Arabidopsis thaliana: one gene and its partner. The protein of the gene in region 2 interacts with the protein of the main gene of each other region in a pairwise test. Each region holds a gene or a part of one and is shown on either strand. Other genes may lie near its edges. The genes, in order: NDPK1 and CAT3.

What was found.
Region 1: the proteins of CAT3 (region 2) and NDPK1 interact in a two-hybrid assay, tested with the Arabidopsis thaliana proteins (one study listed by BioGRID).

The regions. Positions count from the first base shown.
Region 1 is NC_003075.7:5,911,156-5,927,025, reverse strand, and holds NDPK1 (nucleoside diphosphate kinase), read right to left. Parts: upstream 3,543-15,870; coding exon 3,492-3,542; intron 3,372-3,491; coding exon 3,323-3,371; intron 3,010-3,322; coding exon 2,660-3,009; downstream 1-2,659. Other genes in the region: AT4G09340 (SPla/RYanodine receptor (SPRY) domain-containing protein), read left to right, coding at 1-128, 204-290, 384-429, 788-864, 982-1,138, 1,227-1,295, 1,380-1,439, 1,533-1,619 and 1 more. UniProt on the Arabidopsis thaliana protein: Major role in the synthesis of nucleoside triphosphates other than ATP. The ATP gamma phosphate is transferred to the NDP beta phosphate via a ping-pong mechanism, using a phosphorylated active-site intermediate.
Region 2 is NC_003070.9:7,133,405-7,151,773, reverse strand, and holds CAT3 (catalase 3), read right to left. Parts: upstream 8,642-18,369; 5' UTR 8,633-8,641; coding exon of another isoform or gene 8,618-8,632; 5' UTR 7,861-8,617; coding exon 7,669-7,860; exon of another isoform or gene 7,568-7,668; coding exon 7,471-7,567; exon of another isoform or gene 7,316-7,470; coding exon 7,038-7,315; intron 6,946-7,037; coding exon 6,169-6,945; coding exon of another isoform or gene 6,084-6,168; coding exon 5,994-6,083; coding exon of another isoform or gene 5,967-5,993; exon of another isoform or gene 5,895-5,966; coding exon 5,733-5,894; intron 5,641-5,732; coding exon 5,581-5,640; 3' UTR 5,234-5,580; downstream 1-5,233. Other genes in the region: CAT1 (catalase 1), read right to left, coding at 2,165-2,318, 2,421-2,488, 2,579-2,668, 2,759-3,535, 3,714-3,991, 4,265-4,361, 4,948-4,962; CYCB2;3 (Cyclin B2;3), read left to right, coding at 14,501-14,555, 14,649-14,781, 14,884-14,931, 15,016-15,064, 15,147-15,293, 15,376-15,510, 15,622-15,711, 15,802-16,023 and 3 more; AT1G20600 (AP2/B3-like transcriptional factor family protein), read right to left, coding at 17,537-17,608, 18,022-18,369. UniProt on the Arabidopsis thaliana protein: Occurs in almost all aerobically respiring organisms and serves to protect cells from the toxic effects of hydrogen peroxide.

The DNA of each region.
Region 1 (15,870 bases), on a different chromosome or scaffold from region 2:
GGTTATCATGGTGAAGATGGGCTTATATATCTAGGAAAACGTCAAGGTGAAGCTTTTGGTCCGACTTATACAACTGGTGATACTGTTGGTGGTGGTATAAACTATGATTCGCAGGAATTCTTTTTCACGTGAGTATCTAAGAGTTCAAGAGTCAATTCATTTTCATGTTACAGTTCTGACATATCTTTGTTATGAGATGCCAGTGTAAATGGAACTCTGGTAGGGACAGTCTCCAAGTACATCAAGGGTCCTCTATTCCCTACTGTAGCTGTACATAGCCAAAACGAAGAGTATGCTCTCTTTGTTTCTTAATATGATGTCAGCGTGAACTATTTTTCAAGTGCTTGAATATGTTCTTTGTTTGATGTTCTGAATCTTGGTAGGGTTACAGTCAACTTCGGGCAGGAGAAGTTTGCCTTTGATTTTAAGGTAAGATCCTTGAATATTTTTGGTATACTAGTGGAGTTTCTAGCTCTTAGCTTGTGTAATTTATCGATGGGATAGTCCGAAGTATAACTATCGTATAGTAAAGAAACATATGCATCTTTTTGATATGGTACAAACATATAATGTGGCAGATGATTCACTGTAAAAAAATACAGTGATTAAACATCTTCTCTTAGACTCTACGATTAAGAATTGTATGTGTAATATGTGTAGAAAGTTGAGGTAGAGAGTAATATGTGTTTACTTGTGCTTCTCTTTCTGCCTTAGGTTTGTTTGAGGTTAAGGTTACAGGAGTGATTACGTATGATTTAGCTGTTCCTCTTTTTTTCTGTTGTGTTAGGGATATGAATCATCGGAGAGGAATAAGCAACAAATAGCAATCGAAAAGATATCCATACCATCGAACATGAGTCTTGGGTGAGTACACTCTTGTTCTGTAGTTACTGAGGTGAAGTTTTTTCTTCTATTCTTTTATTGCATTGGTAATAAAATTTCTGCGTAGCTAAGAAGCTTCTGGTTTTTTTTGATCATCAGGCTTGTAAAGAACTATTTGCTTCATTATGGGTATGAAGAGACTCATCATGCTTTAGACTTGGCTACTAACAGTACACTTCCTCCTATCAATGGAGCTCAAGAAAATGGTATTGATGATACATCATATGCATTGCATGAGAGAAAAATTCTTAGACAGGTATTGAATTAGACTGCTATCTTGCTCGTTACTACTACTACATCTCTTTCGTTAAGTATTGAACTGATCCATACGTCGGTTGGTAAAGCTTATACGGAAGGGTGAGATCGATGCTGCTCTTGCGAAACTCCGAGATAGCTATCCCCAACTTGTACAGGTGGATTGAGGAACTAATCATATCAGTTGATTCATATTGTTACATTGAAAATATGAACTCTTACCTCAATTGTATAATCTGCAGAACGATAAATCAGAAGTATGCTTCCTCCTTCACTGTCAAAAGTTCATTGAATTAGTACGGGTATGCTCTTCATTCCTTATATATTAATCAGATCCACTGCGGTTAGACTGACCTCTCTCTAAGTAAATAAATACTAAAATGTGACATACTTAGATTGGAGCACTAGAAGAGGCTGTGAAATATGGACGAATGGAATTAGCCAAATTCATTGGTTTAACTACATTCCAAGACATTTTAGAGGTAATGATGGTTCTGCAACCTTAAACTAGTGGTGGTGTTTTGGAATTTTTTTCAATATTTAGTGGTTTCAAAGACAAGAGATTCGAGCATCTTGTTATCTATTTCAGGACTGCTTTGCTTTGCTAGTGTACGAACGCCCCGAAGAATCGAATGTAGGGTATTTCCTAGAAGAGACTCAAAGGGAAGTAGTGGCAGACACAGTGAATGCTGCGATTTTATCTACAAAACCAAAGGGCAAAAATCAATCGCATTCTCATCTAGAGACACTTCTCCGACAACTAACAGCTTGCTGTCTGGAACTGCGGTCGCTTAACGATGGTCAAGGAGAAGCGTTCTCGCTTAACCGACTTCTTAGAACCAACAATTGGAAGAGGACAAAAAAGACTACTTAGCTGTGTCCATCTTTGGAAACAAACTTGGCTTTGATTGTTGACAGTGGCTGGGTTTGAACTGTTACAGGCAGCTACAATAAGCGGTCAAAATAGATGATTGAAACAGACGGGTTGGAGTTGAACCTGACCGTTGGATTCTTTTCTTCTCTAAAGTTTGAAGAACCAAAATTGTAAAATTTAGTTATTTAAATTTAGCTTGCCAATGTTCATCAGTAAGCTTGAAATTCAGTAGACAAATACTCAAAACTTTTCTTATCACTCTCTCCTAGTATGCCCCCTTCAAGTTGGTGTCAGCCTCAAACTTGGACAATGGCTTACTAGACAACTTAAGCTTGCCACTTTGTCGAACGTCGCAGTTTTCGAGAGCATCTAAGAGATTGACAACATTATGTGTTCATGAAACACAAGGTTACAAGAAGTATGATCTTGTGTTTACTAAATAGGTTTGATCTAACCATTGGTAAGAGTCAATTTTGGTTCAGTATCTGCAATAACTGATATATTTTATATCACCAGTTGGTAGCTGTTGTATTCATATGTAGCAAGCAAGCAAAGTAGAGAAGGATAATCAAACTCAACTTAAATATAGAAGTCTTGTTCAAAAGACAAGCAATGTCGAAAACACACTACTGAAAAAGCAACAGATCATCAAGTTTCATAGACCCAAGGGTGAACGCTGCTCTGCCAGTTGACAGGTCCATCAGGGAACCACAAAGCAATCTCCTTTCTTGCACTCTCGACAGAGTCACTACCATGGATCACGTTCCTGCCAATGTCAATAGCAAAGTCCCCACGGATAGTTCCAGGCTCAGAAGCTGCTGGGTTGGTAGCTCCAATGATCTTTCTTCCGGTCAAGACAACATTCTTTCCTTCCCAGATCATAGCAACAACAGGGCCGGATACAATGTAGTCAACGAGTCCACTGAAGAAAGACTTTGAAGATAAGTCTTCGTAGTGCTTCTCAGCAAAAGATCTCTCTACACTGATCAACTTCAGACCTGTATAAAATACAAATCTACACTGATCAGAAACACAAGACTAACACTCTTATCTACCAAATTACATAATACAAAAGGTCCAGATAATAACAAGTTCTTATGCACAGATACTATAATCTAAAATCTATTAGACAACACAGAATACTTGTCAAGTCAAACAAGTTTTACTAAACTATTAGTGTTCAGAAACTAGACCAAACCATAAGCAACTATAGTGTCATTACAATCTCAATTCAAGTAACAAAGTGACTTTAATTAGATCTAAGACCTCTAATTATAATGTAAAATCAAGTTTGGTAATCGAAATCATTACCTTTCAAAGTGAAACCCTTCTTCTCAAACCTGCAGATGACTTCACCGATCTGAAAGAAAAAAACACAAACATATCGATCTTTTAAGTATAAACAATCCAAAGAACTGAATACAAAACCAAAATCAGATCAAGATCAACAAGTATGTATTAAGAGAAAAGGGAAGCTTACGAGTCCTCTCTGGACGCCGTCAGGCTTGATCATAATAAAAGTTTGCTCCATTGTTTTCTTATTACTTGTGATTCGTAGGAGGCAAAAAAGATTTATATAGAGTCCGCACATGTAACCCTAATTCTGTTGAAGAATATTCTAACCCTAGAATATTTGCTACAAATTATTGGGCTTCCCTTATTATTATGTTAGGCCCAATTAAATAAAATATTGGGCTTCATAAAAAAAACACAAATAATATTTTTTTGCAACTTAATTATTTATGTCAAACAAACGTAGATTAATACTGTGATATTAAAAGTCGTTCGCAATATAACTCTTGCACGTGTATAGATTTTGCAAATCATATAAATCTGTACATGATTATTAAAATTACGTCGTTTTGAGCCTTCTTTTAACAAAAAAAACGGCTTTTACTTATTATTATTTTAAGGTTCAATTAGTTATAAAAATTGGATTTTGTGCCAAAAAATTCTCTAAGTAATTTTTTTTGTAACTCAATCATGTAAGTTAAATAAATGCAGGTCTGCGATCTCAAAAGTCACCTATAGTATATCTCTTAGACGTGTATAGATTTTGCAAACCGTATGTTTATATATAGGTTATTAAAACTACGTTGTTTTGAGCCTTTAAACAAAAACGCAAAATAATGTTGGAAAATAGATTTGAACGCATGGCATATTGAACTATTCAAAGATTACTTAACCAATTGAGCAGAGTGATTTTGTTAACTTTACAAACCGATTAATATATATAGTTTAAACATGAATCGAATACAACAATAACATTATTTCAGAATTGTAAACATAAAACTTGACAAACAGCGCGAGCGGTTACGATCGGATCAAACCCAAGTCTGAACACGCTCAATTCTTCCACCCACGCCTCGTCTCAGAGCTTTCCTCGATGAAGAATAGATTAATTGCGATGAGAATGAGCCCTTGCTTGCTCTACAAATTGTTGATGATGGCCAAAGATAATGAAATCAGTGGTGATAAACAAACTAGTTCACGTGAATAGAGATTTCGGATTGCTAATAAACCTAATTTCCTAAGAAGATGAAGAAACCCAGAATGCAATGTTCACAATATATATTTATCGGTATGCAATATCAACAATAAATCTTGCAGCACAATTGGTTAAGTGCATTATTTAGTATTATAGGTTATTGGTTCCAATCCACTCTAGTAATGTATTATTTTCCGAAAAGATGCTCAAACGACGTAGTTTAATAACTTATATACATACTTATACGGTTTGCAAAATCTAAGCACGCCCAAAGATTATATAAAATCTATGCACGTGGTTATACTGTGGGTGACTTTTGATATCAGAGTATTGACCTACATGTATTTAATATGAAAGGTTATGTTGCAAAAAAAAATATTTTTGAGGGTTGTTGGCACAAAACCCTAATATATTTGTTAGATTTGGATTAAAAGAGTTTGATCACACCACTTTGATGCATTCTCTCATGTTGAAGATATACACAACACATTTTCTAAACAAAAATTGTAGTTTTAAGGATTTTATTTTTTATAATATATATATCAAGTATATGAATTGATATAGAAACTATATATAAGTACATAAATTATTCGATGTAGCCAATTACTTCAAAAATTGATAAAATGATCTCAAACACATTTTTTAATAGAGCAAAGTTCTCTTTCTCCATCTCTTGCTACTCAATCATTTTGTTGTATCTACTTTATCATCTATTCGCATAAATTTGTACATAACCACTTGTTCTTAAAGATTATTTCTCATCACATTCGAAAACACTGTCGCTAACACATCTTGCCTAACTCTTTTAGACCTTCAAATATGTATTAAAGAAAGAAAGACAAGTTTTCTACATGATGAAAGTTTGCTCCATTTTTTTTGCTTGCTTATGACCCATGGGAGGCAAAATGAGTTATATATAGTCTCCACAAATTTTTAACTCTAATTATACCGAAGAACATTGTAGAGCTAGAATATTCGCTGCATTTTTAGTGTTATTGAGTCTTCACTTATTATTATTTTAAGGCCCAATTCGATAAAATATTTGTTAGATGTGGGTTAGAAAGACACAATGGTTTTATCTCACACCACCAATGATGCATTCTCTCATGTTGAAGATATAAATAACACACTTTCACAGCAAAACATTTAGTCTATAGTTTTAATTTTTTTATTTATTAATATATGTATCAAGTATATAGTTTTTTTTTAAGAACAATCGACTATAAAAAAACAACCAATCGAAATATAAGTTGCAAGTTTCAAAGTGTATCCAACCATTTGTTTTAAATGATTTGAGTTTTTATGATTTTGTTGATCTTAAGTGAATTTAGAGTAGTTGTAATGATTTGTTTGAAAATCTTCCCAAATTCCACTTAAATCATGTTAGTTAGATATATGTGTTTTCAACTAAAAAAATCCTCAAAATTATCTGAAATCCTCAAAAGAGATATAATGGAGGATGTTGTGTTTTATTCAAAGTCACATACAACCTCTCACAAACATATATTTGATTGTAATTAGGATCTAGATATATGAAAACTCATGATTGTATGATGAATCGATGTAGAAACTATATGCATGATTACACATAAATTGTACAATGTAGTCAATTACTTCAAAATTTGAAAAAGTGATCGCAAACACATTGGTCAATGGACCAAAGTTCCCTTTCTCTATCTCCTTCTCATCAATCATTTTTTTGTTGTATCTACTATATCAGCTATTCACATAATTGTGTATCTAACCACTTGTTCTTAGATATTACTTCTCATCACATTCAAAATCATTGCCGCTAACACATCTTGCCCAACTCTTTATACCTTCAAATATTTTCTACTAACATTTTACTGATTCTGATACGGATATTTTGATGTTTATCCGAGTTTCACATATTCAAAAAGTATGGATTCAGATAATTTCATAACCTCTATATTATTGTCCACATCTAAAAACCACATAGTAAATGACCTGGAAAGAACAAACTAGGGTTCTAAAAATGTAAAACAATGGAGCAGTTATATATGGGAAAGTCCAGTGAATAAAAACAATTTTCAGATGATGATAAGAATAACATATTTCAATTAAAAGAATGATAATATGAAATAATAAACAATGAAACATACAAAATTATATAAAAAAATATTAAATTCATAGAGATTGGATTGATAAAATTCATCTATTTTTACTTTAAACATGATTAGCAAACCTTAGTATTAATAGAACTAGGTTTTGAACCCAAGCTACAGGTTGGTTTCTTCTACATCTTTTGTAAACGTTCAATACGACTAATAACAATTATTAAAATATTATCTTTCAAAAATTAGTGTATGGAATAACATACATCTAGTAAATCAACAAATTTACAACAATATTAATTTCTATATATTTTAATTACTGGTTGTTTTTCTCTTTTAACCAAACATTAATAATTAAGAAAGCCACCCCATGAATGGAACGAATTATTTTAAATACATAATTTGCAAAATTGTATTGTAGATATAAAATATTAACTGTTAGTAATGGTAAATGATTTATATTTTATAATACACTAGATAATGTCCGCCTAAAAATGGGTGTAAGAAATAAATATAATATTATATCGATTATATTTGAATTTTAAATAGTAATATATTTTTTTCTTAACATTTAATTTAGTATTTTTTTCAAACCAAATTTTAATCTTACACATTCCATTTTTCTATACAATTTAACTATTTATTTCATAACAATAAACTGCATTTTAATTCTACACAATATATCTTATCGATAATTTTTGAATTATAAATAGTATTTTGCTCACTTTTCTATATTTATTTTAGTATTTTTATTTAAATCAAAATTCAAATCTTACACATTCCATTAGCAAATACAAATTAACTCTTTGTTTAATCATGATAAACTTGATTTTGATTCTACATACCTAATCTTAATAAATAAATGCTAAAAACATTTTTTATACGATAACAGATCGGTATCTTAGTTAACATTAGGGTATTAGGGTTTTCTACAAAACAACCCTTCAAGTCAATTTCGTTTGCAAGTTTTCATCCAAGTCCAAATTATGTAAGTCAATCTCACAATCTCAAAAGTCACCCGTAATACAGTCTTCCCATGTAGCGATGACATGACACTCGATAACTCTTTTTTAAAATATAAGGCTTTTGTGCAAAAAAAAACTCAATTTAATTTTTTTTTGCAAGACAAACCTCCATGTCAAATACATACAGGTCAAACCACAATCTGAAAAATCTCCTGCAACATAGCCCTTCTGTGTATCGATAACATGACGGTCAATAACTCATTTTAGAGCATGTTCAATGGGTAGAGATTTTATGAGTCATTTATTTAAGGTGCAATGTGCAATGAGTAAAAATTAAAACTTAAATAAATGAAAACCGTAACTAACCGAAATATTATCATATTCGTTGTGGTTTTTTTTGTTTTTCTTCAAAAATAACTAAAATTAACCAAATTTAACCGAAATTAACAAAAATAATTGTAACACCCAGCTCCCAAATCTTGTGTTTGGGCCATTTTGCATCATGTGACTTCTAGCCCATTAAGGCCTATTTCTTTAAACTAAACGACATAAGGGTTTCATTTAGATTTTTGAGCACATATGTACGTATATATGTATGTATCCTCTTCTCCGTTGAATCGCGAAGCAAGCTCGTACAAAAATAAACCCTAGCCGCTTTCCATGAGAAAAAAGAGAGATAAAAGAGAGAAAGGCTAGATAGTCAAGGTTGCCAAGACGTCGTTGTTGTTAGAGGTTGTCGCCGATGTTTGTAAACTGAGATTTCATAGTGTAGTTTTGGTCCTTAAAGGAATAGAGGAGACGGTCAAAACCACCATATGTGTTCGCTGCACCAGAGTCACCACATCAAAGAGAAAGCAAGCATCATGATCCACTAGAGGAAAACAAAGAGATTGGTTGCGTCGGAGATAAAGCGGCGATGGAGACGAGATCATTCAATGGTGATGAAAAACCAGTGATGAGTCTATTTTGTAGATGGTGTTGAGATCAGTCGGAGGAAAGAAAGAAAAGAAAGAAGAAGAAGAAGAGAAAAGAGGAAAGAGGAAGTACAATTTCAAGAATGTTTCTTGCAGGATGATTTCCCGACAGACCAGAGGGACTCAAATAACGAATAAGGTGTCTATAGAAAGAAGACGATGTGAAGAATTCATAGCCGCTGACAGAGATGGAATCGGGATTATATTAAAGAAGTTATGCACGTTTCTTTCATGATAAGTAACTGCAAAGTCTGTGAATCCAGGAAATCTTAAATGACAGTTCGAGAAGGCTTGTTGACGACGACGTTTGGAGCTTGTAATGAAATCCGATCATGCTGTAAATTTGTGGAGTAATTCATGATACTACTATCTACATCTTCAACGGTGGGATCACGTTTCTAACGGTTAGTTCCTTACTTCTGAGTATGTTTCCAGGACAGTTTTATTTGAAGTAAATAGTGATGAGTTTGTGTTGTTGGTTGGGAAACGAGTTCGGTTGGAGCTGAAGCTTTGCAGGAGCTTTCATGACTCATGGATTCAAGTCCTGGTTGAAGGAGAACTAAGTTAGAGCTTATGAGCATGTGGTTTTAGTAAAGATCGTCTAAGTGAAAAGAAAGGAGTTTTCATCTTCACTAGGCTAAGGTGAGGATGGTATTTGCGAAACATAGTATCATTTTCTTTTGTTATGCATCTTGACGCCTGATATGCAGGCTTAGATCTGATTGCATAGGATAAGATTATGTGATGATATGATTTGATGATTGTTGAGTATGATGTATGTATAATGTATGTATGACTGGGGAGAATCGAGCTATAGGCCGTGGTCTCCCTAGTAATGTGGACAGTGATGGGCCGACGGGTTACATGCTGGTCAAGAAAGGCTGACGAGCCCGGGATGCATGGGAGTGTATGAGCCACGAGGGCCAGCCTCCACTCATGAGGTTCTAGTCGTCACGAGGATGACTGGACCTAAGGATATGTATATATGTGCTATTATTGATAAGATGGTTATTATGAATGTATTATTAGAAGTAAATCATGTTAGGTTGTTTGCTTGTGTCTAAGTTTATATGTTATAATGATGGTTGTATAGCTTTAGAAAGTGTTCTATGTTTCAGTGGGCAGAGTTGATTCCCCTCACTGAGTATTCTTTACTCACCCTTTTTTTCTTCCCTTTTTCCTCAGGTTAGTAGGCGTAAGGAGTTATGTGCAATATTTTGTTCATGTATAAAGTTTAAAGAAAACTTTTTGGCAAGATCAGATGAATAACATGCCGTCTTGGCCTATATGGTGGGGCGGGTGTTACAATAATAATTCAAAGAGGAAAATATTAGAAAAATTAAATTATTAAATAAATTAATATCTCTATATATATACTCAACAAGTTTAAACTGAATTTTAAATTGACTGAAGTAATTTATATATATCAATCGTCAATATATACACCCGGACTAATCCCTGGTCTAAACTAAAATCATGTCCATCCAACTTACCACGTCAACAATTTAGTTTAGCGAGAAGCTAATATCAACAGAACAGCTCCAAACGACACAGTTTTGGAATTGGGCTCAAAACCATTAAAGCCCAATCTGAAACAAGTGCCCAATCCAAGAGCCAAGCCCAACATAGTGCAACGGCAACCTGCAACAACAAAGGACAAAAGCAGAAAAGTTGCAGAGCGGTCCTTATCTCCACGCAGTACGGAAGTAACGACGAGGAATCGCTATAAGGCTCTTGAATCATGTGAAGACAACGACGCCACATAACAGCCAAGTGACAGCTATGCAAATCAAGAAGACACTAGGTTAAATCAATCTAGATGTATAAATAGACATAGCTTGTAATCACAAAGGCTTAAGTTGGAAGCAATAAACAAAAGACTTTCGATTTCATATTTTAACTTACATGGTATCAGAGCCATGGATCAATCCATGGATCTCTATACTCTTCCATCTTTAAACATCCCCAACTGTTTTACGGTGAAACTCACAGACCGTAACTACATTCTGTGGAAATCCCAATTCGAATCCTTCCTCTCCGGACAAGGTCTTCTGGGTTTTGTCAATGGCGCCTTTGCTCCTCCAATCAGCACTGTCTCTGGTCCCCAAGACACTGGCGTCACTGAAGCTGTTCCAAATCCAGAATATCAAGCTTGGTTTCGCTCCGACCAAGTAGTTATGGTGTGGCTGCTTGGTTCATTGTCTGAAGACATTCTCAGTGTTGTCGTGGGCTCAAAAACATCTCATGAGGTATGACAGAATCTCGCAAAACACTTCAATCAAATCTCTTCCTCTCGGATTTTTGAGCTCCAACGTCGTCTTCACGATTTATCAAAAGAAGGCAAAACCATGGAGGAGTATCTACGCTATCTCAAGACCATCTGTGACCAACTCGCCTCAGTGGGAAGTCCAATTGCCGAAAAGATGAAGGTTTTCGCCATGGTTCATGGTCTTACCCGTGAGTATGAACCATTAATCACTTCTCTTGAAGGTTCCTTAGATGCGTTTCATGGTCCGACCTATGAAGATGTTGTTTACCGACTCAAGAACTTTGATAACTCTTACCAACACTCTGAAGCTGCCGCTACTGCCTTCTCAGCTTTACACATCACCGATGTTACAGATGACAGTGGTTGGGTTCCTGATTCTGCTGCCACAACTCATATCACCAACAACAGCTCTCGTCTTCAACAGATGCAACCTTATTTTGGTAATGACACGGTAATGGCTAGCGATGACAACTTCTTACCTATCACTCACATTGGCTCAGCAAGCCTTCCCTCTGCATCAGGTAATCTTCCTTTAACAGATGTATTGGTATGCCCTGATATTGCTAAGTCCTTGTTGTTATTGTCAAAATTGACTAAAGACTATCATTGCTCCTTCACCTTTGATGCTGATGGTGTTCTTGTAAAGGACAAGGTAACTCACAAAGTTCTGACAATGGGAAGCAGTACAAATGAGGGACTTTATAAGTTGGAGAACCCAAAGTTTCAGACGTTCTATTCCACCAGACAAGTCAAGGCAACTGATGAAGTCTGGCATATGCGATTAGGCCATCCGAATCCTCAAGTACTTCAGCTCTTAGCTAACAAAAAGACGATCCAAATCAATAAAAGTACCAGCAAGGTGTGTGAATCATGTCGGCTTGGGAAGAGTTCGAGATTGCCATTTACTTCTTCAGATTTTATTGCTTCAAGACCTCTAGAGAGAGTTCATTGTGATCTCTGGGGTCCAGCACCTCTTTCATCTATTCAAGGATTTCAGTATTATGTAATCTTCATTGACAATTTCTCAAGATTCTGTTGGTTCTATCCATTGAAGCAAAAATCAGATTTTTGTTCAATCTTCATCAAGTTTCAGAGTCTTGTTGAAAATCTTTTGCAAACAAAAATTGGAACTTTTCAGAGTGATGGAGGAGGAGAATTTACAAGTAATCGGTTCTTAAAACATCTTCAAGAATATGGTATACAACATTACATCTCATGTCCTCACACACCACAACAAAATGGTTTGGCAGAAAGAAAGCATTGTCAACTTACAGAAAGGGGTCTTACACTAATGTTTCAAAGCAAAGCACCATAGAGATTTAGGGTTGAAGCGTTCTTTACTGCCAATTTCCTGAGTAATCTCCTTCCCACAACAGCTCTTGACAGCTCTGCCACACCTTATCAAGTTTTGTTTGGCAAAGCACCAGATTATTCAGCTTTGAGAACGTTTGGATGTGCCTGCTTCCTTACATTTCGTGCTTATGCTCGCAATAAATTTGATCTGAGGTCTCTCAAGTGTATCTTTCTCGGTTACACGAATAAGTATAAGGGTTACCGCTGCTTCTATCCTCCAACTAGACGAGTGTATCTAAGTCGCCATGTCGTGTTTGATGAAGGCTCTTTTCCTTTCATTGATACTTACACTGGCCTGCAACATTCTTCCCCAACTCCGATGTTTGATGCTTGGTTAAAAGGCTTCTCAAGCTCTTCAGTTCCATTGGAAAAGGAAGAAACCGATGGCTCTAATACTGGTACAAATGTCCCTGTCATCACAAAAAATCAAGAACAGAACCTTTCATTAGAGTGCAGTCCTACTATTATAATTACAGAGGGGGAGACAACACCTCATAACAACAATCAAGACATACCAAGTGAACCGGTCTGTGTTACACCATTGCGAATCATTCCTTCTCAAAATAATACTGAAGAAATTGAAACTCTGTCTACGGGAAATGAGGAGTGTTCTGAGTGTACGGAAAGCTCCGATCTTGATCCTATTGGCAACAACGCTCTCTCATCATCCTCTAGGCATGAACAACCAACCTCCAGCATTCTTCATTCAGCTACAGAATCCACTCATACTATGACCACGAGATTAAAGAAAGGAATTATCAAACCAAATCAACGGTATGCTCTTCTCACACACAAAGTTTCATATCCTATGCCTAAAACAATAATTGCAGCTATGGTAGAGGAAATGGGAAATTATTGAAGTGTTTCATATCCTATGCCTACCACTTGAACTGTTTCATTATTTCACATGTTCACACAAAAATTCAATAGTTGAAGTTATAATCCACAAATCCAATTGCTAAATGGAATAATTTCAGTAGTATAGTTCATAGCCATGATAGGTTTTCCTTACCTAACAATCCGGTGATGAACGGCGACGAAACCAACCACGTTAAACAATCATGACCCCAACGTGACTTCAATTCCGGTGTCACGACGATGATGATGATGGCTGGGATTGAGATGAGAGATAAAGAAGTGATGGTGATGAAGACGATGTGAGAAGAAGCTGCGTGAAGAGGGAGATATATACATATGTACATACACACGCTTAGGGTTTTGTGTGTTACTTGGGTTGGTTGGGACCCTCTTGGGCTTGGGCCTCACAATACCAATACGTTACGGCTGAGTTATGCCAGAAGATTTTGTGGTTTGACCGAGTTATAAGAAACCAGATGTTATTATGAGATTTCAAACTAGCCACCCAATTGTTGGTTCTATTAGTTTCAAGATCTATTATATGAAAACAAAAAATAAATTGAGTTTTCGGTAAGTGTCGATTGACAAACTATGTTGACCAAACTTCTAGGAATGATGTTGTTGGGTATGATGTTGGATAAAGTATATAGAATATGAGATAGTTTCATGATTCCACTAGTTGGAATGTGATTATGATATGTTAATTACTTGATTGTACCAACTGATGGCTTAAGGAAAGCACTTTCAGGGTTTGGCCGAGTTATAATAGTCACACAGCTTAGTTATGACTCCTTCACGACTGAGTTATCTCAAAATACATAGATAAAGGGTCTCCGTTATTGACCAGATACGACGTTGGTTGTGAAAGAGTCTCCGTTATTGACCAGATATGACGACGTTGTGACATAAACGAAAGATTCCCACTTATAAATCCCCAAAATCAAACCCTAAGTTTGAAAATTCCAATTTCTGGTTTCAAATCTGGATCGGGGCCTTATTGGTTCCAATCCACTTTAGTAATATATTATTTTCCGAAAAATGCTCAAACGACGTAGTTTAATCACTTATATACATACTTATACTGTTTGCAAAATCTATACACGCCCAAGGATTATATAAAATCTATGCACGTGGTTATATTGCGGGTGACTTTTGATATCAGAGTATTGACCTACATGTATTTAATATGAAAGGTTATGTTGCAAAAAAAAATTTTTTGAGGGTTGTTGGCACAAAACCCTAAAATATTTGTTAGATTTGGGTTAGAAGAGTTTGATCACACCACTCTGATGCATTCTCTCATGTTGAAGATATACACAACACATTTTCTAAACAAAAATTGTAGTTTTAAGGATTTTAGTTTTTATAATATATGTATCAAGTATATGAATTGATATAGAAACTATATATAAGTACATAAATTATTCGATGTAGCCAATTACTTCAAAAATTGATAAAATGATCTCAAACACATTTTTTAATAGAGCAAAGTTCTCTTTCTCCATCTCTTGCTACTCAATCATTTTTGTTGTATCTACTTTATCATCTATTCACATAAATTTGTACATAACCACTTGTTCTTAAAGATTATTTCTCATTACATTCGAAAACATTGTCGCTAACACATCTTGCCTAACTCTTTTAAACCTTTAAATATGTATTAAAAAAAGAAAGACAAGTTTTCCACGTTATGAAAGTTTGCTCCATTTTTTTTCTGCTTGCTTATGACGCATGGGAGGCAAAAGAAGTTATATATAGTCTCCACAAATTTGTAACTCTAATTATACAGAAGAACTTATATATAGTCTCCAATTTTTTGGCTTGCTTATGACGCATGGAAGCTAGAATATTCGCTGCATTTTTAGGTGTTATTAAGCCTTCACTTTTTATTATCCCAATTAGATAAAATATTTGTTAGATGTGGGTTAGAAAGACACAATGGTTTTATCTCACACCACCAATGATGCATTCTCTTATGTTAAAGATATAAATAACACACTTTCACAACAAAAAAGTTAGTCTATAGTTTTTTTTTTAATTAATATATGTATCAAGTATGATCTTAAGTGAATTTAGAGTAGTTATTATGATTTGTTTGAAAATCTTCCCAAATTCCACTTAAATCATGTTATTTAGATTTATGTGTTTTCAACTAAAGAAATCTTCAAAATTATCTTAAATCCTCAAAAGAGATATGATGGAGGATGTTGTGTTTTATTCAAAGTCACATACAACCTCTCACAAACATATATTTGATTGTAATTAGGATCTAGATATATGAAAACTCATGATTGTATGATGAATCGATGTAGAAACTATAGGAATGATTACACATAAATTGTACAATGTAGTCAATTACTTCAAAATTTGAAAAAGTGATCGCAAACACATTTGGTCAATGGAACTAAGTTCCCTTTTTTTATCTCCTTCTCATCAATCATTTTTGTTGTATATATTATATCATCTATTCACATAATTGTGTATCTAACCACTTGTTCTTAGATATTACTTCTCATCACATTCAAAATCATTGCCGCTAACACATCTTGCCCAACTCTTTATACCTTCAAATATTTTCTACTAACATTTTACGGATTCTGATACGGATATTTTGATGTTTATCCGAGTTTCACATATTCAAAAAATATTGGATTCAGATAATTTCATAACTTATATATTATTGTCCACATCTAAAAACCACATAGTAAATGACTTGGAAAGAACAAACTAGGGTTCTTAAAAGGTAAAACAATGGAGCGGTTATATATGGGAAAGTCCAGAGAATAAAAACAATTTTCAAATGATGATAAGAATAACATATTTCAATTAGAAGAATGATAATATGACATAATAAACAATGGAACATACGAAATTATA
Region 2 (18,369 bases):
CAAAAAGACGATCACAAAATTAACTATCTTTCGTTTTTTTTGTTTCTCTGTGGAAGAGACCTCTTTATATAACTTCTAATCTTCGATCAGGTTTGTATGTACGAAGTGTCCGGTTAGAATTTAGATTTTAGATTTTTGACTCTAACTAAATTTAGTGGCTTATTTGAATAAAATCGAAGTTAGGGTGATTTTGGATGGCTTAGATAAACGCTTAGACATCTGAAATTTAAAACATAAGATCTTATGTTCAAGTTTAGCAACCCCATGTTGAAATGTGTATAAATCACATCAATATTTAACATATGGTATAAAGGCGTTGAACTAATTACTGATCCCGTCATGTATAGTGGAGTGTGATTTGTTTGTTGAACTTCATAGGATAATAGAAAAACAAACAATATATACAAAATTAACTGTGGATTACAAATAATTGTGTTCATATATCTTATCCACTTATATAAACTAGATACCATGATACTTGAGCTTAAATAATTGATCACATCCGCCGAACACAAATCATGGTCACATCCACATGAATTCTTTCATTACTTTTGTTTGAGATTTAAGTCCCAACGGGTAAATTGGAATCTTGCACTACTTTAATTGTATATAGTTTATTGCCTAAACAGCCAATAATCAGTTTCACAAACAAATAAAATATAACTAAAAACACTCCAATAATCAGAAAGAAACCAATAGAACTGCAAGGAAAACAAACTTTTTTGAGTAACCAATGAATTTTTAAACTTTGCAAATACAAAAGAAGATTCTGATTACACAATTTTAAATTATGATCCGGGCAAATAGAATCTCTTTTCATAGGGCTTTGAAACGTATAAAAAATGATTAATAGTTGGACATTGATAATAGAGATCCCTTAATATAATACACAAAAAATGAGTCCTTAATTGCAAAACAAAATTAGTATAAGGTTGGCCGAATCATTAACTTCCACGTCAAATAATTGTGATAATTTTTGCACGTCTTGGTTAGGTATAAAACCTATATACCTTATTTTTGGGGTACGGAGACGATATTATTTATGTTGAGTACATTTGTTGGTAGACCTAGACGTAGGTCCACGAAATTATACTCTTGCATTATACACCTCAAAACTTAGATATTTACATAATTACATTTTATCGTTTAGTATAGTGCTTAAGTTCCGTCACATGCAATCAAAGTAAAGTCTTCTTGATTTCGTCATCAAGATATTGACTTTTCCTAAATGGATCCGAGATCTTGTTAACGACAACCAAAACACGTTAAATTTGTTATTGTTTTTCGTTAAACTGCAAAGTTATGAATTTTAAATGTATAAAATCCTGGACCATTAGCAAACACAGTTCACTATACCATTTCATTGGATAAATAATCTCTTAAGATGCGTAACTTCGATCTAAAATCTTCGCACACTACCACTTAACAAGTTGTAAAAAAAAATATGAGACTGAAAAATACATGAGAAAAGGATATTATTGGTGATTAAGTTTGATGTGGCTCCATGTGTCTAATTTCTGATTTGCGCTGAGGTTCTCTTTAAGAAAAGAAACTACTGGCTGAGAGACATCAGATTAATCAGACTGTATTAGCTGATTAAAAGTTAAGCGCAACAAAGTATAAGCATAATTAAAATTGGTCTGCTCTCATTATTCTTTTTGCATTTCCACTAGCAGCGGAATAATCAAATACTCCACCCCCACTTACATGTAAATTATAAATTATGAATGCGATGTAGCATCATAACGATTGACCAATTAAAAGGTCTGACGTGATGAGTGATGACTATGCCAATTTATCAAAATATGGACAGACATAAAACTTTTTTATCAAGATCGTGCGTCTGACATTAGACCCCAATAAAATTCCAACTATAAGCTCACGTCATAGATGCAGAAGATTAAAATACAAATAAAAATCCATTTTTAAAGTAGAACCAAATGGATGATAGTGATACTTGTTTACTAAGCTATATTAGTCATAGCTTTTTATTTATTTGCCTTAGAAAATAATCGTTAATATTTTGAAAAGAAGATTACAAACAGGAACTAGTACCCTTCTTTAAGCGTTTCATTGTCAATAAACGAGATTACTTAGAAACCAAACCGTAAGAGGAGCATATTGAGTTTATAGGATTTCACTTAGTCTTTAGAGATGATATCATTCAGAAGTTTGGCCTCACGTTAAGACGAGTTGCTAGTTTCTGTCCCAGAGATTTGTCTGCCTGAGACCAGTAAGAGATCCAAATGCTGCGGATTTCGTGCGTGACACGAGGCTCCGAAAGCGCTTCAACAAAACGCTTCACGAATCGTTCTTGCCTATTGGTACAAAACAAAAGACCATTAGAATGAATTATGACATTTGTGGTTCATGTGTAATTGTTGATTTTGCAATGTGGTTTTTGAGTTTTTAGTGTTTACCTGTCTGAATCCCAGGACCGGTATCTCTCCCCTGGTTGCTTGAAGTTGTTCTCCTTCCCGATGAAGCACTGTGATATAAAGATGACATTTGAGTTTTAACTATGACTTATGAGGATAAAACTTGTGATCAAAAATTAATGTATGTAGAGGACTCTGACCTTCTCACGATTTCCAGAGCAGACAATAGGAGTTGTAGGGTATTTTTCGGCATGGCGAACTGGATCCAACCTTGAAGGGAAGTAATTGACCTGGAATTGGAAAGCAACAAATTCACTTCATATAAATGTGATTGCGAATTTAAGTATCTGGGAGTTTCTAGAGCCGAGAGATAAGATTACCTCCTCATCCCTGTGCATGAAGTTCATAAAACCATCATGGTGATTGTTGTGGTGAGCACATTTAGGGGCATTAACAGGTAGTTGCAGATAGTTTGGTCCAAGACGGTGTCTCTGACTATCAGCGTAGGAGAAGATCCGGGTCTGGAGTAGCTTATCATCTGAATAGTGGATGCCTGGAACCACAAGAGCAGGACAGAATGCAATCTGTTCGTTCTCATTAAAGAAGTTGTCGATGTTTTTGTTCAAGACCAAGCGACCAACAGGTTGTAAAGGCAAGATATCTTCAGGCCAGATCTTTGTGACATCAAGCGGATCGAAGTCAAATTTGTCTTCATGGGCAGGATCCATCACCTGAACGAAGAGATTCCACTGCGGATAGTTCCCGGCTGCGATCGAGTCATAGAGATCTTTGGTGGCATGGCTGTGATTGGCTCCTCCAACTCTGATAGCTTCCTCATCCGACAGGCATTTGATCCCACAAGTCGGCTTCCAGTGGAATTTCACATAGTGAGCTTTTCCAGCTTTGTTGATTAGCATGTAAGTGTTGACCCCAGCGCCTTCCATGTGCCTGTAGTCCTGTGGGATACCGAGATCATCAAAGAGAAATGAAAACATGTGCAAACTCTCTGGGTGGTGGGAGAAGAAGTCCAGTATCCTCCAGTTCTCCTGAATGTGAGACTTGGGATTCGGTTTCAATGCATGGACCATGTCAGGGAATTTCATTCCATCACGGACGAAGAATACAGGGAAGTTGTTCCCAACAAGATCAAAGTTCCCCTGAGTTTGCAAACAGAGGGTAAGAGGAATCATCAGTATAGTATGATATGATTTGCAAGTAATCATATAGGTGGTGAAACGAAATAGATAAGCAAATAAACGTTTGAATATCAGCAAACACATCGATATCGGTTATAGAAAATAGAGAGACAATGGAAGGATAAGACAAAAAGCTAACCTCTCTGGTGTAAAACTTAACAGCAAAACCACGGGGATCTCTGAGAGTCTCGGGACTGCCACGCTCATGGATGACAGTTGAGAAACGAACGATAACAGGAGTCTGAACACCAGGTCCTCGAAGAAAATCAGCAGAAGTAAGTTGGGTAATGTCATGAGTGACTTCAAAGAAACCCTTAGCACTGGCTCCCCTGGCATGAACAACCCTCTCAGGAATCCGCTCCCTGTCAAAGTTAGCGAGTTTCTCAAGCAGATGATAGTCCTCCAGAAGGATTGGACCTGACAATATATAAAACCATCGCTTAACATATCTAAAAATCCAAGCAACTGAGACAGAATCAACATTGAGGAATTATATCAGATTTGGCATAAAACTGAAGGAAGAAATGTGATTTACGCAAGTCCACAACAAAAACACTAATGACATTATTATCCAAACGTTTATAAAATTATTTGGCTTCCACTACTCTAGCTTTAAGGGCATTTCTAACAACCACTGGTTCAACATATTTGTTATAATTTGTATTCAAGAGATAAGAAAGAGAAACGGACCTCGAGTTCCGACAGTCAAAGAAGAGTTGTTGTTCCAGACAGGAGCACCCGAGTTTGTAGTGAAGAAAGGGGAATCATGAGCGCTTGAAGGACGAACCTGCACACCAACAAATAAATTCAGAAGAACTGGATCACAAAAAAATTAACCAAATTTCCATAGATTGGAGAAACGTCTATGACAAATAATGATACATTGATACTTGATACATAACAATTCCACATAAGTATATATGATCAATTAAAAAAATACGATACAAGCAACAATGATATTCACAATTGAACACAGTGATTAAAATAACTTTAAAAAAATCGTAAAGAAACCTTAAAACATGTACAACGATATTGACAGATCACGTCAGCCTTAAGACTTGTGTATTAGAACATGAGCATGAGCATGAGCATGTTGACAAATAAACAATCAATAGACGGAAAAACATGTTGAATTTTCCAGTGGAATCTTCAACGCATGCAAATCGAAACCCAATCTCCACTATATAATAAAGAAATCGATTCACACAAAAAAACCTCAACAAGTCGAACAATCACCCCAATTTTGCATCATTTTAACCGAGAGAGAGAGATCATTCATACACTTTGGATTCAACACGAAATCACACCAAATCGATACGAAATCAAGTAAGGTAAAATCACAGATTACAAAAAAAGAGAATCAATCGATGTACCCTGTATGGATCCATGATGCTTGAAGACAATTTTGATCCGAATTTTTCTTCTTTTGCGATTTTTAGGTGAGACTGTGTGTATCTCGCAAATCGGCGTGTGTCTGCACTGTTGTCGATTTTTTTTTTATAGCGAGAGCCAAAATATCTTATTTTAGCTCAACACCAAAACACGTATGTGTTTTGTCTTTGTTAATCCTTATCCAAATGATAATCCTCGTATTAATAGTCAAACTAATTACGTGTGGATGATATCGTCTTTGATTTCGCCAGATACTATACCATAATTAGACAATTGTTGATCCATTTCAGGATTCTCCTTAAAATAATACATGTTCAATTACGGTATCTTCTCTTTTTTTTCCTGAATTAATAATATGTATAACGACCACCATAAATCTTAGAAATTGTTTACTGCTTCAAGAAACATTGATTTATTGTAAAAAGAGATTACAAAGACAGTGAGAGTAGAAAGGAAGGAAACATGAGTTTTTGGGATTACAAGCATTATTATTATATAGACAAGAAACAACAACACATGTGATTATCTTTTTGACGGATTTAACGACCAAGCGATGATAGATCGATGAGATTGATTGTACCTCACATAGACTGAGCTTATATGGAGATTGGCCTCTAGATGCTTGGCCTCACGTTCAGACGGCTTGCAAGTTTCTGTCCCAAGGATCGATCAGCCTGAGAGATACAGAGAGATAAATAATGTTTTAGTTTGCTGAAACTTGGTAAAAAGGACGTAGAAATTTGACCGAGTGTTTTTTTGTTCTGACCTGAGACCAGTAAGAGATCCAGATGCCGCGGATCTCGTGGGTGAGACGTGGCTCCGATAGAATCTCCACCCATCTCTTAACAAACCTGTCTTGCCTGTCTGGTGCCCATGATCTGTACCTGTCTCCAGCCTGTTTGAAGTTGTTCTCTTTCTTGATGACGCACTGCAACATTAGCAATTAAAAGGTTTTCTTAGCACCAATATTCTAATAAACTTGAGTTTAGGATTTGAAGATTTAGAGAAGGCATGGCAGGAATCGGACCTTTGTTCGAATTCCAGTGTAGGAGTTTGTAGGGGTGGGAACTTTCTCAGCGCAGCGGACAGGATCAAACTTTGAGGGGTAGTAATTGATCTGTAAAAAGTACAAACCAAATGAGAATTTTGATTCCAAGTAAAAAGACTAACAATGGTAGCTCAAGTGGTGTACTAAGACGTACCTCCTCATCTCTGTGCATGAAGTTCATAAAACCTTCATGGTGATTGTTGTGGTGAGCACATTTGGGAGCATTGACTGGAAGCTGCAAATAATTCGGTCCAAGGCGATGTCTCTGAGTGTCACCATAAGCAAAGATCCTACACTGGAGCAGCTTGTCGTCTGAGTAGTAGATTCCAGGAACCACAAGACCCGGGTTGAACGCAAGCTGCTCAGTTTCATTGAAGAAATTGTCAATGGTCCTGTTCAGAACCAAGCGACCAACCGGTTGCAGAGGCAAAATATCCTCAGGCCAGATCTTGGTCACATCAAGTGGGTCAAAGTCAAACTTATCCTCATCTGCAGGATCCATGGTCTGGATGAAAAGTTTCCACTCGGGGTAGTTGCCAGATGCAATGGCATCGTGGAGATCCTTAGTGGCGTGGCTGTGATTGGCTCCTCCAACAACCTTGGCCTCTTCATCAGTCAGATTCTTGATCCCACAAGTTGGTTTCCAGTGGAACTTCACAAAGAGAACTTTTCCAGATTTGGCAATAAGAGTGTAGGTGTGGACACCGAAACCCTCCATGTGCCTGTAATCTTGTGGAATACCAACATCATCAAACATCCAGCACCATGTGAGCAAACTCTCAGGCAAGTGGGACATGTAGTCCAGAATCCTCCAGTACTCTTGGATGTTTGTTTTCGGGTTAGGTTTCAACGCGTGGACAACATCCGGGAACTGAATCCCATCACGGATGAAGAACACCGGAGTGTTGTTCCCAACAAGATCAAAGTTTCCCTGATCATAACAGTAACAAGACAAAAATCAGTCCTGATTCTAAAGAAGCTAAAAGACGATTAAAAATGGAAACTTTGAATCTTTTCTTATACCTCTCTGGTGTAAAACTTGACAGCAAAACCACGAATATCCCTCATGGTTTCAGGACTGGCACGTTCGTGGACAACGGTGGAGAAACGGACAATAACCGGAGTTTGAACACCAGGGGCTCTGAGAAAATCAGCACAAGTGAGGTTTGAAATGTCATGGGTGACTTCAAAGAAACCCTTAGCACTGATTCCTCTAGCATGAACCACTCTCTCAGGGATCCTCTCTCTGGTGAAATTAGCAACCTTCTCGATCAAATGATAATCCTCAAGAAGAACCGGACCTGCCCATTACGAAGTAACACATGTTAAAAATAATCACATCACGCTTCACGAACAAGATCTCAGCTTAGACTCTATATCTCAGTTTTATCTCTTTCATAAATCCAACAAGTTCCGATTCTTATTGATAGACTCTTGAAATTCAGGGTTACGATACCTCTTTCTCCGATGGTGAGGGAAGAGATGTTGTTGGAGACTGGAGCACCACCGTTTGTGGTGTAGAATGGGGCGTTGTACGCGCTTGAAGGACGATACTGCAATCACCATTATACGATCGATTATCAACAAAATCCAGGAAGAAATTTGGTCAACAATCAAACGGAATCGACAAGAACAATCCACAAAATTTTACTACCAACTGATTGATTTGATAAAAAGCCCTAATTTTTTGTCGTAACCCGAAACATATCAAAACCCGTTTCCTGATCGGATCCGGGTGGTCCATCCCGACACGAGTAGTCTTCCGACCATTATTTGCCAAAAAGGCTTTAGATTTGATGACGCAAACAGTAACATGTCGGAGAGTAGGGTTGTAGATAAATTTCATTTTATCCACTAATATTTATTCGATTATTACACTTTTAAGTGACTTCCGTATATTCAAGCCTTTTGTTCGATGGATCTACATAATAATTTTTTATTTTTTTTTCGTCGGTGAGATAATTTTTTTGTATGTGAAAAAAAAATACACTTGTATTGATAGATCGACCGACAATGGTTTGATTAACCGAATGTTGTAAAAAAAGATTTATCATATGTATAGATCTAACTGATCGGTTATTTAATTTGATTAATCAAACGTGTAGATTTGATTACTCAGGTGTTTAGTAGATCTGATCAATCATTTTGTTGATGATTACTTAATCTGATTTGGCTGATATCACTAAAATAATATACGGTCGGACGTCTAAACAATCGATTATATCATTTGAACGTCCGATTTTTAGAACACATGTGTGTAATAATAATAAAAAAAAAAACAACAACAAAATAACTTCTAATCTAAGGAAAAAAACAACAAAAACCACATGTGGCGTGTCTTTCTCACGCAGTGGTTAAACGTTTTAATTAAAGATAGCCAGCCAAAACAGAAATCAACATCATCAACTTAGGTTCAAGCGATCACAGAATTTAAGTAAGTTTTTGAGCATAAAAAGTATTTTGACCCTTAAGATTTAAGAACATCAATCCAATTAAAAAATAGTTTAGAAAACGAGCATATATAGTTGAACCTAATTCTAATTAAGATACACATACACCACACAAAAACAAAGAAAAAGTAAGAAGAATATGATCGAAGATACCTTGTAAGGATCCATGGTGATGATAGAAGGTTGATGATCCCCCAAATAGGCTTTTGAGGATTTTGGTTTAGTGAGAGTGTTGAGATCCTATGTGAAAGTATATATAGTGAAACAGCGTGTGTTATGCACAATAATGGATTCCCGAAGTGGAAGGGTACATTTGTCCTTTCGAGATCAATTTCTCGATACAGTAAAAATGGGCCATTGTTGTTTACTTTTCCTTGGTGTTAAAACAATAATGTAGTGCCCCCACTTAGATATTTTTTTGCTAGGTTTTGGCTCCAACCCAAGAAAAATTCGTTCGGTGACTAATAATAATCGCTGACCCCGACAAGTCAGCATTGCTCGTTGTTGTGCTGTGCTTCTCAAGAGATAAAAAAAAGATACAATATCTTTTGAAAATCAATTATTGTGCTGATAACAAAAGAAAAATAAATCATAAAGTCTAAAAACAAAACTCTAATGGATGCTCCAAAAAAAGAAATGATCTAAAAAATAATTCTAGAAATGATTTTTCTCTTAAAACTTCCATTCACTTTCCAAGTTGTTTATTTCCGTATTTGGATCTTATTACTAATATGAGTTCATCTATAGTAAAGTCTGCTGATATACATGTTCGATCTTATCGCATAGAAACTCGTGTCAGACACGAGGTGGAACTGTAGATCTGAGGTTTCTTTGTTTTAAATTTTTGTCTTCAAAAGTATATAGTTTCGGAAAATTAATCAACATGTGTTACAACAAAGGTGTCTGTATTTGCAATTACAAAAATGCGTGAAACATGAAAATAACTAATACCGTCGAAAGGATATAAACAGTATTGGAGTAGTTGAACAAAAGTAATTAATACTACTATTCAAAATAAAATAAGTTAGTTAACTTAACTGGGTGATATTATTTTAGTCTTATCCGATTTGAGCTTGCGTACGGCTTTTAAATAAATCAATATGCAGAAAAGTATTTAATGAATTATTAATAGATGATCATGAATCTATAAATTATGGGTTGAAAATTTAAATACATTCTTTATAAAAATACAAAAAGAGAGAGCTGAATTGACATTATTGAGTGGGTATGGTGGGGAGTCGATGTTGTGGAGCATATGACGATAATTAACACGTTACTTCGATGATGAACTGATCCACAATTTTTGATTGAGGGTAACTTGGGGTCCCTTTAGTGTCAACAAGTTGCTCTTGTTACTTAGTTTGATATTATTATTTACAACTAGAGCTAGGTACAACAATCAACAGTAACATACTATTCTCAGAAAGTGGCAATCATTAGAAGACAATCTTCATCTATCTCCGTTTAACAGAATTCATTTCGCATTCTTTTATATATTTCTTTAAAGGACATATTGCGCAGTTGCCCCCCTCCATAAACATTGTAGTAGCTCTGTTACGAAAACAACAATCCAATAAGCTATAAGAGATAAAAGTGGAGTAGGGAGATACTCTCGTAGTTATAAATTTACTTGTTTATAATTTAGACATTTAGAGTTATTAGGACTTTTAATCCTCTCCAGTATGCCGCATATATATTAAGTGCAATGACTAAAATAACTCAAATGCAGTTTTTTGTGTGTGTGTTATTTTGTATCCACATGGACCACATCACGTGGAGCACATATGACATAACCAAATGTGGTGTTACTATCACTGGTAAAACGTGTTGTTTCAAAGTTATTGGCTCCATTTTTGATGATAGATAATTTCAAATCACAGAATATATCTTCGTGTTATCAAATGTTGAGTTAATTACAAATTAGAGGATATATATGCTATCCAATATTAATCCTAAACCTGAAGTAATAATGAACCCAAGCCTGATATCTAGATTCACCCCAAAAAAAGAAAAAGAAATTGTAGCTATGTAAAAAATATCATAGCCCCCGTTTTTTTTTGACACAAAATATCATAGTCCCCTTATCAGATAAAGTTGTTGAAATCGTCTTACCACGGTCAAGTCTCTTCGTTTAGTGACGACAAAAGTCAAAAAATGCCAGAAGCTTTGGGAAAGTAGTACGTAGCTTAGCTAAATTGTACTATGCATATAATTAAATTTGTAGAGTTGTGTGATAATATTCTCGCAACTCGCAAGTTTCGTCATGGTGCATATGACTGCATGCGGGATTGTCAATTGTTTTGTAGCGAAGAACTTAAGAGTTTTTTCAGCCGTAGAATTCGAATATACTTGGTATTTAACGACCAAAATTCTATATTTAACTGTGAACATAACGTATTGGGATTTTGATTAAGTACCTTAACTATAGAACCACCCGGAGATTATAAAAACAACCAGTTTAAGATAGAAAAATATGATAGTAAAATTGTTTAGTTGTCAGTCTTATGCATAATAAATAGATTGGTGTAGTGTTTTTTCGTTTTTTTTTTTTGTTGAATGTGTATGTTTCATTTTGTTACTATATGCGTGCGTGCATATACCATATGATCCGTAATTTATTTACTCAGTTACGTATACGGTATTTCTTATACGACTAGTATTAGCTGCTATTTCTTATAGGACTAGTATTAGCTGCTAAAAAAAAAAAACAGCATAGCTCCATGCGAGAAACTACTGCTTAATTAATACTGACATAGGATATCAACTACTTCACACCCAATATTTTCTTGAGGTGTCCAAACTAAATAAATAGAGGGTTACCAATACTATATCATACATATATACATAGTTTTTATATACAGTACATAATATAACACGTAACGCTCTAAGATTTTATCGTGGTAAAATTGTGAGTCAATTAAAACAACGTAAATTTTTATTTTTACATTTCAAAAGTAAAAAGTAAATATAGATAATGAACGTTGACGATAATGTTTAGGCAAATTACTTCACGGGCTATACTACTAAATTATCATATCATAAACGAGGGCAACTGAGAACCACTTACAGGCTGCCACGTAGAAATCTTACCCTTGCTTAGTAACTTTTTGGTGTTAACCCAACCAATGAAAATTCGTTTTGGTGGTTCAACACGACAAAAACGGGATTACACCTTATCCTTTCTTTCTTTCTTTTTGGATTTCGAATTTTGTCAATGGAGTTGAAAAATCAAAGAGAAGGACAAAGCTTTCTGGCAGTCGAATCTTTTGGTACCTCGTTTTCTTCTCAGATGGGGACCTAACTAGCTTTAAGTTCATTCAATCCTTTTTGGTTATTCATAATGATGTTAGTATATAATTTACCAAATTGTGAATCTCATGATACTAATTATGATTTAAATTAACAAATTTCGTAGTTATATTTTCAAGAAAATAAAATTTCACTTGTAGGATTACTCATTTTCATTAGATTTTAATGTACATTATACTGTGGGTTTAAGGTTTTGTGTTGTTTCTTTTCTTATAGATTTTCAAAATATCAAATAAATTACTAATCATCTAATAATGCAAATCCTTTTAAACATTGTTTGGTTATTATTAGAATGGTACCCTTATTAGAAATTTAAAACTATTGACCTTATACATAGTTTATCAATTTTTACAAGTCCAATACATTTTTGTGCCACAGGCCCACCAAGCCTAATATATCTATTATCTAAGATACTAATGGGCTCTAGTCTGGTGGGTAAGTTTTGGGCCAACCTGTAATGGAAAAAAAAACAGTTGTATTCATTAAACGGATATTAATTACAAGAGACTGAGAACTTATGCAACCTAAAAGATATACATGTCAATTTAAATGCCAATAACAAAAATCTGAAACAAGAACTTATAGAATGATCTCAAACTTAACCTAATGGCATATCATATTTATTTAATGTATCTATATCAATGGAAACAAAATGCTATTGTTGTGTTTCTACATAGAAACGCAATGTTCACACTTCTACACAAATGACTTGATTGATTTAAAAGTGATTGATAGTAAATGCAGTATATCAATGCCATTATCATGTAAACAACTCTATATATCTTTTTCCCATAAAAATATAGTACGATATTCTAATGATACACTTGAAGAAGGTCTAAACTTTGTGTGAGATTTCTTACTCGAAAAAGAAAATCATTTAACTTGAGATTAATATAAATGTATTTGATTTCTTAAACGAGTCTTGGTTTTTGGTCAAAGGTGATGTATTTGATTTTTTAAATAATAGTATTTTATTTGTTATTATAGAAATGTATATTATATAGTGTAATTTTCGAAAATAAAATAAAAATAGTTGTCTTTCCCAAAATAAAAAAGGGAAGGGTATTATCATTCTTACTCGGAAGAATCGAAAATTAAGTCCATTTTTTTCTACTGTTTATCTTACACTATTTTTGTGGCAAATACAATAATACCTCTATATTATATAACTATTCTTATTGCCATACCACTGTACCTGTGAAGATTACGACAATGATAGTTTTTGTTCAGATTCAGTTCAAATTGGTTAACAATCAAATTACCGAGTTAACTAATACTTTATCTAGAGGTAGTGACAATAATAATCTTATTGGATGAAATTCATATTTTGCACGTTATAGTAACTCGTTAATTTTTTTATATGATATAATAAATGAGTTAAGACGGTAAATATAAATATATCACATAAGTTATAACTTATTGCGATTCAAAATGACTTAGCATGACATAATTATAAATTTATTGATATAAATATTTTGTTATCATGTTAACCTAATAAATATTACCGAGATATTTGTTATTGAAAACAAAAAAAACCCAAAGAATTTGAATAAGTACACATACACATGGATGAAAAACAATGATAGCCGTTGAACATAAGGCAACTTTCGATTTGGAACACGTGGCATTAATCCAACAGCTGATATGAACTAGGCAACTAGCTGTTAATTTTAAAGATATTATACAGACAATATATCCGCTCTTCTAGTCTTCAAAATCTCTATTATTCTTTATTTTTTCTTTTTTTCTTTGCCCTTGTAGTATAATATTCTAATGATACACTTGAAGAAAATCTAAACTTTGTGTGAGATTTCTTGCTTGAAAAAGAAAATCATTTAACTTGAGATTAATATAAACGAATCTTGGTCTTTGGTCAAAGGAGACATATTTGATTCTTTTAAATAGAAGTGTTTTATTTGTTTTTATAGAAATGAATATTATTTCATGGTGTAATTTTCAAAAATAAAATAAAAATAGTTGTCTTCCCCAAAATAGAATAAAAGAAAAAAAAATCAAAGAATTTGAATAAATCTATACATAGATGATATACAATTATAACCGTTGAATAGAAGACAACTTTCGATCTGGAACACGTGGCGTTGATCCAACGGCTGAGATGAACTAGCCGTTAATTTTAAAGAAAACTAATACACTATAGACGCTCTTCTAATCTTCAAAATCAATCTTACTCTTTTTTTTTTCTTTTTTTCTTTACCCTTATAAAGAGAGATAGAGAGAGAGTGGGAAGTATCTTCAAAACCGAAGCCATTAGAGAGAAAGAGAGCGTGGTTGAATCTTTGGGTTTTACTAAAAGATCTCTCTTTCTCTCCTTTGTTTGATCAACTTGGATCCAACGGGATAAAAGACTATTAGGGTTTAGGAGATTCACTGGGTTTCATAAGAATTTATGATCAAGGGTCGACTTAATCTCGCGTTGGTTCTTTGAATTGACTGTGAAAAGGTGATTTTTTTGAAAAACCAATTCGTGGGTTTTCGTTATCTTCTGGGTATTTGAGATTTAGGTCTTTGTTGTTCTTGATTGGGTCTTTCATTGAGATTATTAAACCGGATCTATAGGGTTTTGATTGTCAAGACTGTTTTTTTAGTTTCAATTTTGAAAACCCCTGCTTTTAAGTTGGGGGATGTTTCGATTTTGAAATTTGATTTCTTCAAGAGAAGAGATTTAATGAAAATAAATAACTTCCGCAGATAACGAAGAAGAAGAAAATGGTTAGATCAGATGAAAATAGCCTTGGATTAATCGGATCAATGAGTCTCCAAGGTACCCTAAATCGATCGATTTTGTTATTAAAAATCAAAACTTTCGTTCTCTTTGATTTTTCCCCCAAATTGATTTTGAATTTACTTGATGTAGGGGGAGGAGTAGTAGGAAAGATCAAGACGACGGCAACAACAGGACCGACAAGAAGAGCACTAAGTACTATTAACAAGAACATCACTGAAGCGCCGTCTTACCCTTATGCTGTCAACAAGAGATCAGTTTCTGAGTAAGTTCACTTTAATCCTCAGATTCAAGATTAGTGTTTTTTTTTTCTTCTCCCTTTGATTAGACTCTTATAGGAACCCTATTTCTTTCTGTGACTTTGCAGAAGAGATGGCATTTGTAATAAACCACCTGTGCATCGACCAGTTACTAGGTAAGCATAGATCTTTACTCTTGTCTACTTTGAGTATCTCACATTGTCTGATTACTTAACTTTTACTACTCTCTGTTGGTTCAGGAAGTTTGCTGCTCAGTTAGCAGATCATAAGCCACATATCCGTGATGAGGTACCCTATTGTTCAATGTATGTTTCATTTAGAGCAATGATGATATAGACCGGATTTTAAAGTTCTGATCTTTAACTCTTAGGAAACTAAGAAACCAGACTCAGTTTCAAGTGAAGAACCAGAGACGATTATCATTGATGTGGATGAAAGTGATAAAGAAGGAGGTGACTCTAATGAGCCAATGTTTGTACAACATACTGAAGCAATGCTGGAGGAGATTGAACAGATGGTATACATATTTCCTAACCATTCTTTGCTTTGTTTATGGAAGTGTTAATATAGTTACTCATATTGTTTGTGTCTTTCAAAAGGAGAAGGAGATTGAAATGGAAGATGCAGACAAAGAAGAAGAGCCTGTGATCGATATTGATGCCTGTGATAAGAATAATCCTTTGGCTGCGGTTGAATATATCCATGATATGCATACCTTCTACAAGAATTTTGAGGTGAATTTGTCTTGTTTCACATCAACTTTTGCTTTTGTGTTCTTTATCATCGAAAGGATTGTAGTTTCAAAATCTTGTACTTATGTTTGATTCATTCTTATGATTCTGCAGAAACTTAGTTGCGTGCCTCCTAACTATATGGACAATCAACAAGATCTTAATGAGAGAATGAGAGGAATCCTCATTGACTGGTTAATTGAGGTAGACAGATCTAGACAAAAGCTATTTAATGCCACTTTTTTTGTCTCAATGTGCCTGAAGATAAATTGACTGGAAAATTATCTTGTCCAGGTGCACTACAAGTTTGAACTGATGGAGGAAACTCTTTATCTCACAATCAATGTCATCGACAGATTCCTTGCGGTTCATCAAATCGTGAGGAAAAAGCTTCAGCTTGTTGGTGTTACTGCTTTGTTGCTTGCATGTAAATATGAAGAAGTTTCAGTTCCAGTGGTAGATGATCTCATCTTGATCTCTGACAAAGCTTACTCTAGAAGAGAAGTGCTAGATATGGTGAATACACAACTTTGTCTTGATCATTAACTACCACTGGTTGATGCTTCATAGTTGAATTTACCTGTTTTTGGTTTCTATTGCAGGAGAAGCTAATGGCCAACACCTTGCAATTCAATTTCTCTCTACCAACTCCATATGTTTTCATGAAACGATTTCTCAAAGCTGCCCAATCTGACAAGAAGGTATATATCTCCCTAACTAAAAAAGCTTGAATCATTATATCCGGAAACCATCAGGCCTAATATCTAAATCGGTGTGGTATATGCAATTGTGGTTTCAGCTTGAGATTTTATCATTCTTTATGATCGAGCTTTGCCTTGTGGAGTATGAGATGCTAGAGTATCTTCCATCTAAGCTGGCGGCCTCAGCAATCTACACTGCTCAGTGTACACTTAAGGGATTTGAAGAATGGAGCAAAACCTGTGAGTTTCACACAGGCTACAACGAAAAACAGCTACTGTAAGAACATACATTGATTTTTTTGAAAACCCCATGACATGAGATTTTGGTATCCTGACAGTGGGTTTTTGTGTTTTTTCTAGGGCATGTGCGAGAAAGATGGTTGCTTTCCATCACAAGGCAGGAACAGGGAAGCTCACAGGAGTTCACAGAAAGTACAACACATCTAAGTTCTGTCATGCTGCAAGAACTGAACCAGCTGGGTTTCTGATTTAATATTAATAAGAATCTAATATGACTTAACTCGAGTTTTTCTTTAGAACAAAAAGAGTGTGAGAGAAAGAGAGATAGTAGAGCAAGTTGCCCAAAATGGGAGAAGAATGGATCTTTAGATATCATGGCAAGTAGCCCAAAAAGAGTGTATTCTTCTCTTTCTAAGGTCTTTAGATCTTTCTTCACTTGAGAGAGAATAAAAAGAATCTTCTGATATCATGCTTTCCTATATTCAACTTGTGAATCGATTCTTGTATAGACTCAGGAAAATCTATGATCCAGTTTGGTTAATATTACTCGGGAGCTGAACCTCTAGACTGAATCAAATATTCTTCTACATGTCGTTTTGGTACTCTGGAACTGAATCTCTAGACCCTATCAAATATTCTACAAGTACATGGCAATTTTTTGGATTGTAATTTGGGAAAATTGCAGTTGACAAGGTTTTTACATGATGAAAATACAAGTACAATATTCTTTTATAGCTTATATATTAATGTTATAAATGACCATATAGACTACGTTATTTAGACAACTCAAAGTCTACAGTATTGCAGTCTTTATTGAAGGAGGATATAATCATTACTTCTAGTATTTCATAATCTTGTTCCTTCAATTTATCTTTGTTTTCTGATCTTAGTCTTATTAAGACCTTTATGAAAACAATGTACTTTGTTTTACTCATCTACTGTCAGAAATGGAGAATGCGCAAAGAAGAAAATAGATCACAACGAAAACTTGTCAATGATTCAAACATCTTGGTAACCCAAAATACAGAACTAGTAGTGCATCTGGACATATCTCTCTTGTTCTCCTTTGTTTGGTTTTACAGTGTTCTCTAAGAAGTGTTGCAGCACCTGACTTTGCTGCCTCGAATGAAGACATGCTCAAGCTGTGATACCTTACCATCCTGTAACATAGCAATGAAAAACCGAAAACAAAAGTTAAGTGACAATTATTAATAAACAAACCCATTAAGTTGACAGATTATTTATGAATACTTATGAACAATAACACATTAAAAGAGTTAAAGACTTTCTGAACTAAAAAACTACAGGTAGTTCTTTCCCAATAATTACAGGTTCATTCAAAACCCATACAGCACATTATTCGCAAAGAAGACGAAGCTTTAAGACCTGCATACTTGAGACTATTCACATTTGACCACTGTATTAATTCTTGAAGATCTCACCCTAATTTGGATTCAAGAAAGCAGTAGTCTTCAAGATCATCCCACTCGATTAGTTAATTTCTTAAAGAAAATGTAACGTAGTGAATAGCAAAGCAAAGCTTTCGAGTCTTTATGTGCCTAAACATCCAAACAGTGACAAAATCAGAAGTCTTCAAAAGACCATAATCTGCCACAAACTGCATCCACCCTGAAGTTAAGACAGGTGTTTTATCCCCATTCCACATCTTGAACTTCATCTGTTGAACTTCCCCGTCTGGTCCATACACCGAAACATCAACCCCCTTTACCGGATCCTCTGATTCTTCTAGAAAAGGAAGCATCTTCTCCTTCACTTGCTCCTTCGATAACATGAGCCTGCTTTGATCTGTATCGACGTCGCTCGACATCAACTGCTTCTTTATCGGTCGGCTGAATCGCCTCGTCACCTCATCATCGCCGAATATATCCTGTGGATCGAGTTCAGCGTTGTACCAATCCTC